Linked DNA regions of Macaca fascicularis. The protein of the gene in region 1 purifies or fractionates together with the protein of each later gene. This does not show direct contact. Links are inferred from orthologs where the notes say so. Each region holds a gene or a part of one and is shown in the gene's direction. Other genes may lie near its edges. The genes, in order: GGH and CANX.

What was found.
Region 2: the proteins of GGH (region 1) and CANX purify together in Homo sapiens (affinity purification with mass spectrometry; 3 studies listed by BioGRID and IntAct, with this or other methods). This does not show direct contact. The link is inferred for Macaca fascicularis from reciprocal best matches to the Homo sapiens genes GGH and CANX.

What each region holds. Positions count from the first base shown.
Region 1 is NC_088382.1:72,952,694-72,956,511, reverse strand, and holds part of GGH (gamma-glutamyl hydrolase), read left to right. Parts: intron 1-1,699; coding exon 1,700-1,806; intron 1,807-1,888; coding exon 1,889-1,979; intron 1,980-2,140; coding exon of another isoform or gene 2,141-2,259; exon of another isoform or gene 2,260-2,379; intron 2,380-3,818. UniProt on the Homo sapiens protein: Hydrolyzes the polyglutamate sidechains of pteroylpolyglutamates. Progressively removes gamma-glutamyl residues from pteroylpoly-gamma-glutamate to yield pteroyl-alpha-glutamate (folic acid) and free glutamate.
Region 2 is NC_088380.1:186,599,338-186,603,155, forward strand, and holds part of CANX (calnexin), read left to right. Parts: intron 1-516; coding exon 517-643; intron 644-1,947; coding exon 1,948-2,027; intron 2,028-3,818. UniProt on the Homo sapiens protein: Calcium-binding protein that interacts with newly synthesized monoglucosylated glycoproteins in the endoplasmic reticulum. It may act in assisting protein assembly and/or in the retention within the ER of unassembled protein subunits.

The sequences.
Region 1 (3,818 bases):
GAAGAACTCTGAAATGGAATCTGGTTTTGAGTCCTAGTTTTCTCACTTTGACCTTGAGGAATCATTTTTACCCCTGAGGTTCAGTGTCCTCATTTGCAAAAGGGTCTAACGCTTAGGGGTTTTTTGTGTGTGAGAATTAAATAAGTTTTTTTTTTTTTTTTTTTTTTTTTTAAGACAGAGTCTGTCACTCTGGAGCGCAGTGACGCAATCTTGGCTCACAGCAACCTCCACCTCCAGGGTTCAAGGGATTCTCCTGCCTCAGCCTCCTGAGTGGCTGGGACTACAGGCGCCCCACCACACCTGGCTGAATTTTGTGTTTTTAGTAGAGACAAGGTTTCACCATGTTGGCCAGGCTGGTCTCAAACTCCTGACCTCTGGTGATCCGCCCACCTTGGCCTCCCAAAGTGCTGGGATTAGAGGATCCACCGGGAAGCGCTGTATTTACTCAGCAACCAGGAACTCCAGTGAGTTTTGGTGTCTAGAGTTTTTACTGGAATGTTGTTATGAAATAATTGATTGAATCATTGCCTATGTGACTGAACTCAAATCTCCAGCCCCTCTTTCATACTTGGAGATTGATTGGGCTGGCTCGAAGTTTCAACTTTCTGATCATGAAGTTAGTGTTTCTAATGATTAGTCTTCATCCTGAAATATTTGAGGGACCCACCTTGAATTACCACATTAGCATAACAAAAATACTTTTATCACTCCAGGAATTCTAAGGGTTTTAGAAGCTTCCTGTCAGGAACCCAGGACGAAGACCAGAAAGATTCTTAATGATACCACTCTGTATAAGTAGATAATGATTGTTGTTGGTTACTTGATCTCTGAATGCTTAGAATTGAAGCCACCAGCTATTTCTGTTCTCTTGAGGATTTTGCAAGGAAAGTAGCAGTCATACTTAAAACCTATAGAATGCTTTATGCTTTTGAAAGCTCTTTCTTCCATTGTCTCACTTAATAATTGCAAAAACCCAGTGGGAAGTACATGTATTAGGTCAGAGTACTTTGGTTCTGTTGCCAGAACCCAGTTTATACAGAAAAGGAATGTTTCAGGGAGCTGCGATTTTCATGGAAGTCTCTAGCAAGAATAAGGGGCCTGGTTTGCAACAGCTGGCACTATCACCTTGAAAACGTCAGTTTCTTTTTTTCAAAATCTGTTTGTTGGTGTTTGAGTCTGTGCAGCACCTTCAGTGTTGACCACTAAGATATATTGCTTTTTGATCTGTTTACTGAGTCAAAATTTCTTGGCTTGGTTCGTGTTCTTTTCTACATTGTTTTTATTTTTATTTGTTTGTCCCAGATACTTCTGAAAATATGTTGAAAGTTTTGGATCCTTTCCTGGGCAAATACGTACACCCATGGAAAGTTTTAACTGTTTTTCAGAATAGTCTGTGGAAATCTAGTTAAGATTCCCTGCCTGTTCTATAGCTTGCCAATACTCATATCAGAAGAATTTTACTTATTCATGTTAAAATTCTAGAAGAAAATTACTTATATCTGGAGCATATTTGAGTTTATGTTAAACACATTTTGTAACTTGATTGGAATACTTCTATGGAAATGATGCGTTTTGCTTATCATTTAGTCATCTTGATTATATCTTCATAATGGCTTCTCTTTGGGTGCAGATAAGCGATTTCAGTGGATTTTATTTTTTGTGTGTTTAAATTATTTCTCTTGTACTTAAATTATTTCAGGTCAATTACACAGCAGAATGTTCCAGAATTTTCCTACTGAGTTGTTGCTGTCGTTAGCAGTAGAACCTCTGACTGCCAATTTCCATAAGTGGAGCCTCTCCATGAAGGTATCACACTAATTACACAATGAAATTAATATGTTTAGAATAACTGCAGAAGTAATCATTTTGTTTTGTTTTCGTATTCTAGAATTTTACGATGAATGAAAAGTTAAAGAAGTTTTTCAGTGTCTTAACTACAAATACAGATGGCGAGATTGAGTTTATTTCATCAATGGAAGGTATATCACTATAGCATGTACACTTTATTTCATTTATTTTATATTTTTGAGTTTTGATTTTGTATGTCTTAAAATCATGTTACTTTGGGGCCTGAAGATGGATGTTAGGGCATTTTCGGAGACAGGAGACGTGTTTTGTCCGTGTTTCAAATTAATTGCAGTTTTCCTGGGTATTTTCCTGAATGAAGTGGTGAAGAAGAAACGTAAAAGAATAAAGGGGGTGGAGATGAAGAAAGAAATGAAGAAAATGACTTCTGTTTCTGGCAATATTGCAGATTAAATAACTTGATAGACTTTCCTCCAGCCAACAACAAAATAAATGTGGGTGATAATAGAAAAACATAGTAAATACGCTGATGAATTGGCAAACAAATAAAGATACTCAGGTTCAAAATTTTAAGAGTTGAATGGAATATTTAAACCAGTGTTGTTATTGAATCAGGAGAACTTGAGACAGTCAGGACCCTCTACATGGAGCAGGACTTGGAAGGCTATACCTGCAATGTCAGGCTGAACTCAAAATACAGCTGGAATCCGCCCTACAGAATGGCAAGGAGAATAGCCCATCCTGAGCCTTGGGGCTAAGGGAGTGGGGTGGGGGTCAGTGAATAAAGCCTTGAATGTTTATAATGATGGGCTGTTCTCCTAGTGTGGCCAGCATTATACTAACTGGGAAGTTGGACAAATCTTAAGTAATTTTGTTCAGGGTTGTCTCAGACTGGTAATGCCCTCACATGTGACGCTGAAGCAAATGTAAATAATTATTTTGAGAGGACCAGAGGTTCATCCCAGGCTTCACGGAATTTCCATATATGAAGTTTGAAGGAAAATGAACACTTCACAGCCAAAATACTACTAATGTACAAGCAAGCAAAGTACTGTGAATGAGAACTTGCAGAGATAACAGATGTGGAAGCAGACCTGCATAAATGTTAGATATTAGTATTATGAGATAAAGTATAATATATTTTAAGTTTTAAAGAAAGAAATAAGAATGCTTGCAAATATAGGCATGAAACAGTCAGATTTGAAAATAACCAAATTCAGCTATTAGAAATTATAGTTGAGGCTAGGTGTGGTGGCTCACACCTGTAATCCCAGCACTTTGAGAGGCCGAGGCGGATCACCTGAGGTCAGAAGTTCAAGACCAGCCTGGCCAACGTGGTGAAATCCCATCTCTACTAAAAATACAAAAAAAAAAAAAAAAAAGGCCGAGCATAGTGGCACGTGCCTGTAGTCCCCTACTTGGAGGTTGCAGTGAGTCGAGACTATGCCACTGCACTCCAGCCTGGATGACAGAGCGAGACTCTGTTTCCAAAAAAAAAAGAAGAAATTGTAATTGAAATAAAACCCTCAGTAGACATGTTAATCAGAAGGTTAGACACAGTTGAGGAGAAATTAATGAACTAGAATAGAAGATAGATGTGAAGGAAACATTCAGAATCCAACATAGCCAGACATGTAAACGTAAATGCCAAATGTGTCAGAAGAAAGGTGGGAATCTGGAGGGTAAAGTGATTTCTTACATACCTAACCAGAACTCTTGAAGGAATGGGAAAAAGTAGGGCAGAGACAGACTCTTTTTTCTGTGTTTAAAAAAAAAAAATTCAGGTGGATAAAAGACCTAAGGAGAAAGGCACACTACAATAAGGTTTTAGAAAAAGTAAAGGAGAATTGTCTTTATGATCTTGTTTAAGGGAAGGAGTTTTGAAGACAAAATATAAACAAACCATAAAGGAAAAGATTGATGAATTCAATCAAATGAGGAAGTTGTGTTCATAAAAGGAAACAAATTACACAAGAAAAAAAGGGGAGGTATTTGTAATGCATATAACTGAC
Region 2 (3,818 bases), on another chromosome or scaffold:
TACCTATTTCTATTATTTGAAATTCAGTCTTTGATTCCTCATTATCCATTTTGCCTTCACCTTCCCCACTCTGAAAACAGTATGTTGGGGTACCACAGCCTTATTGTTAGTTTTTCTTGTCTAGCCTTTTTTGCATGTGCTATCATAAAAAAAGGAAGTCTTATTTTGGCCCTCTACTTCTACTAAATGAGGATTATGCTTCATCTGGCATTCATAGCACTTTGTAACTGGATCCCAAGTTCCTTTTCCAGCCTTATCCTCTGACACTATTCTTTGTATCTGTGCCGCAGTCACCTTTTTTGACCCGTATTTTCCTGTCTGGCCCTTTTGTTTTTATTCTACCTTGAAACACGCATGTGCACACATGCTCTTCAGGGTAGGAATTACATCTTATTCGTTTTTATATATCTATCCCTGTATACAGCCTGGAACAGAACTTTGCCTGTAGGCATTCAGGAATTATATAACATAATACCTGAACATGTAAACAAAATTGTACTTTGGGGAACATTTCAGAAACAGACCAGTGCTATGGAGTATAAGAAAACTGATGCACCTCAGCCGGATGTGAAGGAAGAGGAAGAAGAGAAGGAAGAGGAAAAGGACAAGGGAGATGAGGAGGAGGAAGGAGAAGAGAAACTTGGTAAGAAATAGAGTCCAGAAAATCTGCTTTAAGCCAAGACCCTACGATGTCGTTAAACCTTTACAGTCAAGTTAAAGATTGTTTTTAGCCAGGCATGGTGGCTCAAGCCTGTAATCCTAGCACTTTGGGAGGTTGCAGCAGGAAAATCGCTTGAGCCCAGGAGTTTAAGGCTGTAGTCAGCCAGGATAGTGCCACTGTACTCCAGCTGAGCAACAGAGTGAGGTCCTCTCTCTCTCTTTTTTATGTTTATTTTGTATGTATGTATGTATGTATTTATTTATTTTGAGATGAAGTCTCGCTCTGTTGCCCAGGCTGGAGTGCAGTGGTGCGATCTCGGCTCACTGCACGCTCCGCCTCCTGGGTTGACACCATTCTCCTGCCTCAGCCTCCCAAGTAGCTGGGACTATAGGCGCCCGCCACTATGCCTGGCTAACTTTTTTGTATTTTTAGTAAAGACAGGGTTTCGCCGCATTATCCAGGATGGTCTCGATCTCCTGACCTCATGATCCACCCACCTCGGCCTCCCAAAGTGCCAGGATTACAGACGTGAGCCACTGCGCCCATCCTCTGTTTTTATTTTTTAAGACATGGTCCCACTCTGTCACTCAGGTTGGAATGCAATGGCACAATCACAGTTCACCACAGCCTCGAACTTATAGGCTCAAGTGATCCTCCTACCTCAGCCTCCCCCGTCCCCAAGTAGCTGGGACCACATGCCCAGCTGATTTATTATTTATTTATTTATTTGATGTGGTCTGGCCCTGTTGCCTAGGCTGGAGTGCAGTGGTGTGATCTTGGTTCACTGCAGCCTTTGCCTCCCGGATTCAAGCGATTCTCCCACCTGGGCCTCCCAAAGTGTTGGGATTACAGGCGTGAGCCACCACACCCAGCGAGATCCTGTCTCTTAAAAAAAAAATTATTGACCAGGCACGGTGGTTCACACCTGTAATTCCAGCACTTTGGGAGGCTGAGGCGAGTGGATCATGAGGTCAGGAGATCGAAACCATCCTGGCTAACACGGTAAAACCCCGTCTCTTCTAAAAATACAAAAATTTAGCCGGGCGTGGTGGCGGGTGCCTGTAGCCCCAGCTCCTTGGGAGGCTGAGGCAGGAGAACCGCTTGAACCTGGAGGCAGAGGTTGCAGTGAGCTGAGATCGCGCCACTGCACTCCAGCCTGGGTTGACAGAGCGAAACTCCGTCTCAAGAAAAAAAAAAGTGTTGTAGATCTAGAGATTTGTTCTAATGCTAATGTGTAATCACCAAAAATAGTCAGGTTTTGCTCAGTTGTTTAACTTTTGTCTCAGAAGAGAAACAGAAAAGTGATGCTGAAGAAGATGGTGGCACTGTCAGTCAAGAGGAGGAAGACAGAAAACCTAAAGCAGAGGTAAAGGAAAGGGGTCACACATTCTGTTTTTCCAAGTTTAAGGTACATTTATTTAAAGGGAATATTTTAATAGGGTAGTTTACAGTGGCTTATGGCAGTAAAAATTCTGTTAAAACCAATTTTGTTGAAGTGGAATTCTTTGTGATACTGGTCAGTGTTTTGTTTGATAATCTGAAGCTACGTCTGCCTCTCCAAAGTATCTTTTTAGCTGAAAATGATTTTCTGGAATAAGCAGAAGGTTGTAGGGGGATAATAAAATGCTTGCTAAGAAGGAAACTTCGGGTCATTAACAGTCTATTTGCCTCTCCTCACAGTGCCCTGAAAAGTATTTCTTATACAAATCACTGTGTTCTAAACTTTTTGTCCCCGTTATCCATAGATTGGTTCATTCATTCATTTACCTGATGTGTGTTGAGTGCCCATTTTGTTGCAGGCATTGTCAGTGAATAAGACAGACAAAGATACCCTGCCTTTAGGGAGCTGATATTCTACTTGGGGGAAACAGGCAGTGAGCAGTAAACATTGTAAGGAAGTAAACAACACAGCATATTAGGAAGTGAGAAACTATGAAAAATTAAAACAGGAAAAAGTATTAAAAGTGCTAGAGGTAGGGCGGGTCACCATGTTAAAAACCTTACTCGAAAGATGACACTGGACCAAAGACTTGAAAGAGATAGAGAACTTTTCCATGGGGATGTAAGTGGGAAGAGCATTCCAGGCAGAGAGAACAGCCAGTATTGAGAGCCTAAAGTGGTCTACAAAGCCAGTATTGTGAGTGGACAGACAGAGTGGAGAAGAGAAGGGTGGAGAAGGCTCCGGGTTAGACAGGCTGTTGTGTGGACTTGGCTTTCCCTCCTAGTGAAGCAGGCAACCATCACAGGCTACTGGACACAGTTGTCACAGGATGATGACTATCTGCTGTGTTTCCTATATACCAGTGAGAATCAGGGAGACCAGTTAGGAGGTTCCTGTAATCATCTAGGAAAGATATGGTGGCCCCAAAAAGGGTGACAGGAGAGGAACAGAGGGTATGAGAACTAGTTGGGGTTCTGGATCTTGGTTTTGTGGTGGATTGGATAGATATATAGAGTATGAGAGAAAGGGAACAGTCATTGTACCATTGCCCACTAAAGTCCTTCCCCCAGCACCTCTGTGTCTCAGTCTGGTCTCTCCTGGAAAGCTCTTCTCAGGTTTTACTTCCAGCTACAACTCTGCCTTCCTATTAATAAAGGTCATTGCTATCTGTATCTTTTGTATATTTTCAATGGATATGTTCTGTCTTAACTAGAATGCAGTTCTTTTTTTTTTTTTTTTTTTTTTTTTGAGACGGAGTCTCGCTCTGTCACCCAGGCTGGAGTGCAGTGGCCGGATCTCAGCTCACTGCAAGCTCCGCTTCCCGGGTTTACGCCATTCTCCTGCCTCAGCCTCCCCAGTAGCTGGGACTACAGGCGCCCGCCACCTCGCCCGGCTAGTTTTTTGTATTTTTTAGTAGAGACGGGGTTTCACCGTATTAACCAGGATGGTCTCGATCTCCCGACCTCGTGATCCGCCCGTCTCGGCCTCCCAAAGTGCTGGGATTACAGGCTTGAGCCACCGCGCCCAGCCCTAGAATGCAGTTCTTAAAAGTAGAGACCATGTTTCCCCCAAACTCCCTCACATGTTAAAAAGTTGCTGGCGCATTTAAAAAAAAAAAGGAGTATTTTCATAGGGTAATTTACAATCTTAGCAACTTGTGATAGAGTACAAAGAGCAGCAGCCTTGGAGTCAGTCTACTTGGATAGTCTTCCATCT